Linked DNA regions of Kluyveromyces lactis. The protein of the gene in region 3 interacts with the protein of the main gene of each other region in a biochemical or structural test. Links are inferred from orthologs where the notes say so. Each region holds a gene or a part of one and is shown on either strand. Other genes may lie near its edges.

Region 1 (3,391 bases), on a different chromosome or scaffold from region 3:
ATGTCTTCACCACACATTTCTGGGGTCCAGTTTCAAACTTCGGTATCCCAATTGCTGCCATCTACGATTTGAAGAAGGATCCGGAGATGATTTCTGGACCTATGACGCTGGCTCTAGTGATGTACTCTGGTGTGTTTATGAGATATTCCCTAGCTGTTACCCCAAGGAACTTCTTGTTATTCGGTTGTCACGTTGTGAATGAAACAGCCCAACTTGTGCAAGGTTACAGATATTTAAACCATCATTATCTAGGTGGCAAGAAAGCTGACGCTACTGACGCCAATGTCGCCAAGACAGCCTAGATGCAAGAGAAAATGTAACCTGCCGACAAAACAACATTCTTTCTCCCATGGCTTAGATTACACTACTGTGTAGGTCTGTTATCTAAGATTTAATGCTAAGTTTATTTACGTACTGTATATTATATGTCTATATGTTCAATTACAGTTTATGAATTCATTTCGAAATGAAAAATAAAGTACTTCTTTCGTTCTTTATTATCAAGAGTCGAACAAACCTTTAGGTCTGTCAGCTTGTGTGGGACCCATGCCATCATCTTCTTCCTGTAGATTGAGATCTTCTTGGATTGCTTGTCTTTTCAAATTATTTAGATAAGCAGCCTTGTTCATTTCTCTTTGATGAGATTCATCTGTACCGACATTGTTCGATTCAATTGTTCCTCCCCATTCGACAGTTGTTCTCATTCTCTTTACTGGCTCGCTAATTGACGGCTCGGTTGTTGTGTTCGATGGTGTTGACTGGGAGCCAGTGTTTGAATTGGGAGTAGTGTTACTATTTTGTTTCCCCCACCTTTTAAACCTGAATTGCCTTCCTTCTTCGTCTTCGTCATCATCATCTGCTCCATCCTCATCCGTTATAAATAGTGAGCGTTTTGTATGTGGATACAGCATCTGCTTACTTTCCGGCCTTTGAAGCTTATCTGGTTTCACTACGGTATCCTTCTTGATTGGTGAAACTATCTTTTCTGGTGACAGGTTAAATTGGGTGACAGAATCCTCTGGTTCTTCGACCCTACCCTCGGTATCAGTTACCTGCACTAATTCCAATACAACCCCATCTTTTGTTATTTCAAAGAGAATGGGGTCACCAGGTTGGCAAAACCAGATTCTTATCATGTCATTTGTTTTCCAACAATTAAGTCCATTTAAGAATACTTTGAAATCTCGTAATTTGAACGTAATGCTCTTCTTAATACTTTGTGATCTGCTTGAAGGTCTCGAACCGTCGTTTTTTTCTGTTGAAAATATGCAGTAATGTTCTAGATCATTTGCGCTACATGTATTCGTTACTGTAACTGCTTGTTTGAGGTACCCTTGACTTTTCATGTTGTACACGGCTTTTGTAAATCCTATTATGGCTAGAGTATGTCTCGTCAATTCCAATTTTATTTCCTCGATCACATTAGACATAATAGAGTCAATGAAGTTTCTTAGTATTGATTGATCAAAACTTAAGAAGTTGATTTCGTCGTTAACCGTCAACGGTGTATTTTTCACTGTGCTCACAATATTGTGTTCATTGGCGATACCTCTATTAAACATATCATGTTCTAATTCTGTTTGTAAAGATTTGAAATAATCCACTAACCGAGGATCTAATGATCTGCCCTTACTTTTGTTGTTGTATACTGAAAGGAATTTTTGTTTATATTTCAGACTTAATATGATCTGAACACTTTCCAATGGATCAAAATTAACTTGATATTCTTTAGTTAGCAAAGATGCTGTCTTCATTTTGATTATGAGTTTGTTAGCTATAGTTTCAGAACAATTATCACAATTGTCGATAGTTAACATGTATTCTTTAATTGTATCCTCTTGTTTAAGTGATAATAGGGAAAGATACTTTGCATTCGCTTTGAAACTATAAATTGTGTGAAGAATGTCATTACAATCGGTGATCTGCTGCACTCCAGATTCACCAAATACAATCTTCTTCGGCTCGAAGTGATACTCTGTAAAGAACGACTTAGGAAATCGTACCTTGGCCATGGTCGTGTCTGTTGCATTCATGGATGATATCAATACACCATTTTCGGTGATTGTTATGAAGACATCAGGGTTTATTTGAGAAAGAGTTGCCAAGCATTTACCCCATATGGTCTGTTCATTCGTGCTGTTTATGGAAGCACGAAATGACATTGCAATGGCCTGTTGTCACAACTTCCAGTCAGAATCCCTTTATCTGGCGGTGATAAAAAACTCTTCACTAGATCTAAAGTTCGTGTTTTTTCTTGCAATTACGTGATTTATCTTTTTACAGATTAAATATTTGAACCTATGTCTATAAAGAAATAGTGCGAATGGATTAGTGATTATATTAATCTGTTATTATGATTCGTTTGGAGCTAGAGAAATTGCTGGAGTTGAAGCTTTTTCAGCGGGCTCTTTATATTTTTTCTTAGTCTTTTCCTTCTTACTGCCATCTTTGGTTTTCTTCTTCTTTTTCTTTTTAATAACTATGACTTCTTCTTTGTCATCTTGGATGGCTGTTAAATTGTCACTAATGTGTTGTTCTGCAAGTTTATTTTTTAGCTTTTCCAACTCCTCTTGATCAACAGTGTATTCACCGTCGTAATCAATGTTATCCTTTCGACTAAAATCAAAAGATTTGAATTTATTCGATGTGGAAAGAGTTATCGCATCTGAATGCCCAGAAGTATTTGATTTCTTCTTCCCCTCCTTTGTGATAGTGGATGGTGGAGCCACTACAATATCTGACAAAATTTGTACAGATGGTGACTTATTAGATTTCTTCTTTTTCGTCGAAATTTTGATGACGGGTTCGATTGTTTTTGTTTCACCCTCATCATCGTTATCACTCAATTCTATCAATTTCGTTTCTGCACGGTCAATTTTATCATCATTCAAATAAAACGGATTATCCAACCTCTCTTGTCTTCTGCGCTCTTCTAAAGCAGCAAGTTCTTCTTCTGTCATTGAAATGTCTTTCTCTGACGAGATATCCTGAGTTACAGATCCGTCAGAACTTCCAGCGCTTGCAGCAGATTTAACGCTCTCCTTGTCGGAATAATATGCAGCTTCATCTTCATATAGTTCTTCATTTTTCATTAATTCTTCGAGTTCAACAGAAGATAAAAATGGAGTGTCTAAATCGAGTGTTAACGCCTTAACCAACTGCTGTTGTTGTCCGTGTGACATTGGGCCAAGTTCATACTCATTGAAAAGACTAGGTAAAACGTCGGTAATTAATAGAGGTAACCCTTCCGTTTCATCTTGCAAAGCATCTTGACAGAGTTTTAACATTTCATAGAACTCTACGCTTCGTTCTTGTATATCAAAATTCGTTGATCTGTATTTTTGTTCCATGAATGCGATTAGTGTAGAAAGAAGATCTGATATTTCAGATT
Region 2 (3,979 bases), on a different chromosome or scaffold from region 3:
GAATCTCATCGTAAGAAAACAGATCACAGAGACATTGTAATTGAAACGCCTGTTTTTCGTTGTGACCCATATGATTCTGGAATGCCTTCACCAGCGAGGCAACCCAGTGTTCTCGTTCTTCCATGGTTGAGGTTGAAAATGTATGAGATTCGTTAGACGCAGTATTCCTAATCTTGAATGAATAAGAAGATTCTTCATTATCGTCATTGTTTAAAGTAGCGTTGGTAGCAGTTTGGTATATCGTCTTCGGTATAGAGCTCATTGTTGTTCCAGCAGGTAAAAGTGGAGGCTTCTTTGACGTAGACGGCGTTTGGACATTGCAAGATTCTTCATCAGCATCTGACAATGATTTTCTTTTATAGTTAATGTCCTCCTTTGTTTCAACACTCAAATAATCAATGGGTATGGGTCTTTCTATTAGCTTATATTTCTTCCCTGATCCTTTGAATATTTCTTCAGTGATCAGAAAATAATTGTCCAATAAAAAGACATAGACAGGGGCACTCTCAAGCCATAGTTCTCTTTTCTTCTGTAATATACCTTGCATTATTAGCTTCCTGTCACCGTCCCCTAACTTTAAATCAAGATGCTCGTTGTTTGTAGTGAAATTTGACACGGAATCATTACCAGACTGTATGTTAAGGTAGTTGACAGTGTTGCCTGTCTTAGATGTAAAAATCAATTGACGAGCTAGTCTGACTATCTTACGTTTATCTATCGCATCACCATGGGCTTTATCTACTAATCTTGATAGTTGTTCAATCTCTTGAATTGCCATACGTAAGTATTCGTGATCATCCATTGATGGATCAGTACACTTCAATACAGATCTGAGTGTTACTGGCATATTTTGTAAAGATTTGAAAAATCCACCAAAAAAGATAACGTCGTGGTAAAGTTTAGATCTGGTTATTGGAGTTGACTCATCGATTTGCCTCAACCAAGATGCAAACCGGGTATTATTTTCCTTTTCCCAATTGATTATTTCGTGGACAGTAGCCATATTTTGCGCATACTTCACATACACCTGTTTAGCATCATTTGCCCACTTTAAATATATCTTGCCAACTCCATCAATGAATTTACCTTTTATTTTAAGTTTCCAAAGGATAGGGCTCAAAAGAATATCCTTATGTAACTCTATCAATGGAATGAATATATCATATGCCATCGACTTAAAATTTGGGTCATCCGGTAAAAGAGCCGGATCAAAAGAGGCCCCATATATCTCTACTGCTGCATTAGCGAGGTTTAATGATCTTTCCTCTAGCACTATTAGATCAAATATGAAACTCTGGCGTTTAACTTCCTTAGGATTAATCTCAGATAATTCTTCGGGAGTCAATTTCCAGTAATCGGTCCATAGCCCCACTGACTTGTTGATGAATTCTGAGATTTTAAGCTGTGACCTGTAATTCTCTGATCCTTTTGAGCTCCAGCAGGTGTATGAATAGCACTTCAAATCCGTAGTAGGATCATCATATATATGAGAATAAGAGTAACAGGGCAATAAATCCGTAAAAACCCCTTGAGTATCAAGCCCCGCAATGATGATGGTGATTTGGTTCCCAGTTTCCGGATCGTCTTCGAATCGCACAGCACCTTGTAAGATAAGCGATTCAATAATTTTGTCCACGTTCGAATCAATGATATCTTGCTCGCAAGAATTTGGTAGCTGGAATTCCAACAGTAATTGAACAATTTGAAAGAATTCCAATTTACCGAAAACGTATTCATTAAACCATTCGAAGTATACTTTCAAGAGCCACTGGTATATGTGTGACAATTGGCTAATGTTGTAGCACTGGTAAAGTTTTCTTTCATCCAAAAGGTCGATCGTGAAGGGGTATGTTGGCACTGTAATGCTAGCCACATTATTCAGTGGTTTACTCCCAGTGATTGAACCGAACGATTCATGTCTAGCATATTCTTCCACGTTTTTATTGAAAGCGTAGCTCGAATTGGAATAATAACTACTGATTGAGTCTGAAAGTCTTGGTTCATTAGGCCCTATTGCTCCATTACTAACATCTTTCATCTTCGGAGGTTGTGGATAGTATAAAGTTGTGTTTTGTAAACTACTTTTATCCGAAGTGGACCAGTTGAAATTTCCTGTCGATATTGGAGAAATGGCATCCAGCGCAGGGAGCGTTTCTGGAACTGCCATATCATTATAACGGTGTTCAACGGGCCCCGTAAACTGCAGTGTACTACTAGATGTTGCAGTAGTCTTTGTTGCCGCGTTAATAGGGCCGGAGAACGTTCGTGGGGGTAGTGCCGGCAGAGCTTTCATTGTGATATCTTTCGAATCCGAACTAGCGAACCCTTCAAACTCAATATTTGGCATCGTTACATTATTGGTGAATATACTTGAAGTTGAAGAAGAAGACAGCCTATTATTATTATAATTATTATTATCTGATTGTGAAGCTGGACTATCGCTATTATTGCTGAAACTGCTATTTGGAAGAGTTTCAGGTGACCGAAACACAGATGGATCACCAACGAAAGGCGATATATACACTTTCGGAGCAGGCGCCCTCTTTTCACTCACACTTACCTCTGTGACAAAAGGAGATGAATAAAGGTGCTGTTGGTCAATCTGAGGCTGCTGCTTTTCACTTGATCTAGACGGTACGACGGTGAAAGATGATCCAGATGTAGGAGTCACAGGGCTCGTCAGTATTGGAGGAGGAGGCCTCCTCCTCCTCTCATTATTCCCAACTTTCTTGGGAGTAGATTGTTGACTCTGCAAAGGCGGTAACGCCGGTAATCTAGGAGATCGTTGTGTACTGTCCATTACTCAAAATGATACTGTTGAAATGAATTGCAATACTTTGATAAAGGTAAACTTGTATTCATAAAGCCAGAAAGTGAAAGCTTCGTGTATATAAGCTAAATTGATACGCGAGTAGCAACGAACGCAGTGGGAGATATCAGTTTGGGGCCTTTCACAATAAAGTATTCATCTGTCCACCCCATCATCTATTTACATAGTAGCTACAACATTATATTTGTTAATAACAATAAGTTGTTCCTACGATTTGTCGTTACCATTACAAAGGGAAGGGAAGCAAATTGAAGAAAACAGAAAACTGCAACATCACAGTTTCGAACGGTTAACTACCTGTTTCTTATTTGTTTCCCTTCTGTTTCCCTTTCTAATTGTTTCTCACTTCCTATGTCGACGGCTGAACGAAAAAAGATGGAACCCCGAAACGTTCGCCCGGAAACCGTCGTTGCGAAGCATAATTACTGCTCAGAAGGAACTCTCGACGAATGCATCTCCAGAACTGTACGCTACTGAGCAGGCTATTGGAAAGACGTTAATATGAAGGTTTGAAGGGCTTACATGAATGTGGGACAACGGAAGGCACACCTGGGGCTCCCTTTCTTAGCGTGAGAGAGGATGATGCAATTTTGTGTCACGTGAATCATTTCTTTTTCTCATAGTTCCTACGTACCTGACTACAACAAAGTAAGGTTATCATTCCAAAAAGATGACAGCTTTTTCAGTTTGTGATTTCTCGAAATGATTACTACGAGTCATATCAGATGCCATAAGACATCTGCTTGAAAGGAAAGTGCACATTCTGATGTCATGCCTTCTGCAATCGAATCATATTCTACACACAAAATATGTATCAATATCTGCAAGGAATATCTTGTATGTGGTTTTTGGATATATGTATTATCAAACTAAAATAACAAATTAAAACAATTCCTGCGGTTTGAAATAGGACTCTAAACATGACTGAAATTGATTTATTGTTGTGTATCGTCGTAATTTGAATTGAATGTCAACGGGAATTGTATAACTGCGTATTGATTCGCCAATCGTAATAAATAAGTGGACATTGTTTTACTTTTTCGTAAATACCTGCGTGATATTTGTTTTATCTATTCTGGCGCGATTTAGTTTATATAATATATGTTGGAATATTCATTTATAAATTATCATTAAAGAAACGTTCATTAA
Region 3 (2,637 bases):
CTGATAGCAAGGAGAACTATACTTTAATTAGAGAAGTTGCGTCGGGTTTACCTGTAACTGTTTTGATCAATAATGTTGGTAAGTCTCATTCGATTCCAGTACCATTTGATCAAACCGAAGAATCTGAATTGAGAGATATAATTACTATCAACAATACTGCGACATTAATGATCACACAAACTTTGTTACCACAATTAAAAGCAAGCGTTAAGACGTTGAAATGTCGTGGTCTAATCTTGACAATGGGTTCCTTTGGTGGTCTGCTACCTACCCCATTCTTAGCTACATACAGTGGTTCCAAGGCATTTTTACAAAGTTGGTCTAACGCCCTAGCTGGTGAATTATCTAGCGATTCTATCGATGTTGAGTTAGTGTTATCTTACTTAGTTACCAGTGCAATGTCTAAGATTAGAAGATCAAGTGCATTGATCCCTTCTCCAAAGGCTTTCGTGAGATCCACATTGAACTCCATTGGCAAACGCTGTGGTGCCCAAGAGCGTTTTGCAACCTCCACGCCGTATTGGTCTCATGCATTATACCATTTCATTATCGAGAACACCGTCGGTGTGTACTCTAAGATTGCTAATTCAATTAATTATTCCTTCCACTTGAGTATCAGAAAGAGAGCTTTGAAAAAGGCTGAAAGACAAGCCAAGAAGCAATAAAAAGAGTTGTCTCCAAAATATTAGTTTGTTTTGATATAAGGAGCAGGTTTAAATAGATTTGTTGTAGTAACGTTTGATTATTGTGCGATATCCTGACAAAGAAACCATAATTATTGGAACCTGTAGAAGTGTATAAATTTTGTAAGTTTCTGTGTTAAATATTCTGTAACATGAAAGTATACTGAAAAAACCGTTCAGCAATGCCCTATACGTTACAAAATCCCTGCGTTCATCTTACAATTCCAAACCTTTCTTTCTTTTCAATTACACGTAAAGCTCATTATTGACCTTCTGACCTTAAAACGAAGAAAATACAAACACAATTTCGAAGATATTAATATAGTATTAAGGCAACGTTAATCTGTTAGAAAGAAGGCACATACCAGGGTAATATTAGAGCCATAAGCACTGAGTGATAGTTGATTATTTGATTTGACGCATATTTATACGCGAGCACAGCAAATTTTACTTGATCTGAATATACTGCTGCAAAAGAGAACAATCTGTACCTACCTAAAACTTGAAAGTAGTAAAGAAACAGAACAGCAAGGTCGCATCATACAAGAAATCCACCCTATACCAGGATGTCCGAATTAACAAACTACAAGAGACTTGAGAAAGTCGGAGAAGGTACTTATGGTGTTGTTTACAAAGCGGTTGATTTGCGTCACCAGAATCGAGTGGTAGCAATGAAAAAGATCAGATTAGAATCTGAAGACGAAGGTGTTCCCAGTACTGCGATACGTGAGATTTCATTATTGAAGGAACTGAAGGATGACAACATTGTCAGATTATATGACATCGTGCACTCGGACGCGCACAAGTTATATCTAGTGTTCGAATTTTTGGATCTTGATTTGAAAAGATACATGGAATCGATCCCCAAGGACCAGCCATTGGGAGGCAACATTATAAAGAAGTTTATGATGCAATTGTGCAAGGGAATTGCTTATTGCCATGCTCATAGGATCATACATCGTGATTTGAAGCCGCAGAATCTATTGATCAACAGAGATGGGAACTTGAAGTTGGGAGATTTCGGCCTTGCACGTGCATTCGGTGTCCCCTTGAGAGCGTACACCCATGAGATCGTCACTTTATGGTATAGGGCACCAGAAGTGTTATTAGGTGGGAAACAGTACAGTACAGGGGTCGATGTATGGTCCATTGGCTGTATATTTGCCGAGATGTGCAACAGGAAACCGTTATTCAGCGGAGACAGTGAAATTGATCAGATCTTCAAGATATTCCGAGTGTTAGGCACACCAAACGAGAGAACATGGCCGGATATTATTTATCTACCGGATTTCAAGACTACATTCCCTAAATGGAACCGTCGTAATTTATCCGAGGTAATTCCATCGCTAGATGCAAACGGTATCGATCTCTTGGACAAATTGATCACCTACGATCCAATCCACCGCATTAGCGCCAAAAGAGCAGTACAACACCCGTACTTCAAGGAGGAGTGAGAGTGTTGGTGACAGGAGGCGCGTATATTCATGTATATGATATATAATAAAAACAATACCAGTCACGTGTATTCACGTGACTTATATTACCCGGAACTCCACATTCCATTTCTTTTTGTCCCATCCAACAGCCCTTCGAGAGATGCTGCAAACATACCACAAAAACAAAAAAAAAACGGGCCTTGATTTCCTTGCCTGTGCCACAGCAATGCGCCCAAAAAGAAAGAACTAAGAGCAAGAAAAACCGAAGCAAATTGAAACCCGCCCCCCTCCCCTAGGCCTGGGGCTCTTCGTTAACGTTACGCCATTGCTAGTTTGGCTGAACGCAAATCTACCTAGTCACCTATCCTCGACATCCCCTCTCTATCGCTAATATGTCTGTCCATTATTCCGACCGAATCCCTGAAGAAATTAAAGACGAGGCCTGGTAAGAGACAGCTCAATTGACGTAATGTCTCTCAACTCAACCCATACCTTCTCTCTCTCTATTCACATCCCCC

Evidence for each region. The genes of interacting proteins can lie anywhere in the genome.
Region 1: of the proteins of CDC28 (region 3) and DDC1, one has a biochemical effect on the other in vitro, tested with the Saccharomyces cerevisiae proteins (2 studies listed by BioGRID). The link is inferred for Kluyveromyces lactis from reciprocal best matches to the Saccharomyces cerevisiae genes CDC28 and DDC1.
Region 2: of the proteins of CDC28 (region 3) and TUS1, one has a biochemical effect on the other in vitro, tested with the Saccharomyces cerevisiae proteins (2 studies listed by BioGRID). The link is inferred for Kluyveromyces lactis from reciprocal best matches to the Saccharomyces cerevisiae genes CDC28 and TUS1.

What each region holds. Positions count from the first base shown.
Region 1 is NC_006041.1:1,723,599-1,726,989, forward strand, and holds DDC1 (Ddc1p), read right to left. Parts: upstream 2,163-3,391; coding exon 501-2,162; downstream 1-500. Other genes in the region: pyruvate transporter MPC1, read left to right, coding at 1-302; APL5 (Apl5p), read right to left, coding at 2,352-3,391. UniProt on the Saccharomyces cerevisiae protein: Component of the checkpoint clamp complex involved in the surveillance mechanism that allows the DNA repair pathways to act to restore the integrity of the DNA prior to DNA synthesis or separation of the replicated chromosomes.
Region 2 is NC_006040.1:221,454-225,432, forward strand, and holds the start of TUS1 (Rho family guanine nucleotide exchange factor TUS1), read right to left. Parts: upstream 2,801-3,979; coding exon 1-2,800. UniProt on the Saccharomyces cerevisiae protein: Guanine nucleotide-exchange factor (GEF) for RHO1 that stimulates the exchange of RHO1 GDP-bound form into GTP-bound form. Required for signaling of cell wall defects to RHO1.
Region 3 is NC_006038.1:854,827-857,463, reverse strand, and holds CDC28 (cyclin-dependent serine/threonine-protein kinase CDC28), read left to right. Parts: upstream 1-1,249; coding exon 1,250-2,137; downstream 2,138-2,637. Other genes in the region: IFA38 (ketoreductase), read left to right, coding at 1-665. UniProt on the Saccharomyces cerevisiae protein: Cyclin-dependent kinase that acts as a master regulator of the mitotic and meiotic cell cycles. Required to drive the G1-S transition. More than 200 substrates have been identified. Substrate specificity is in part regulated by the bound cyclin protein.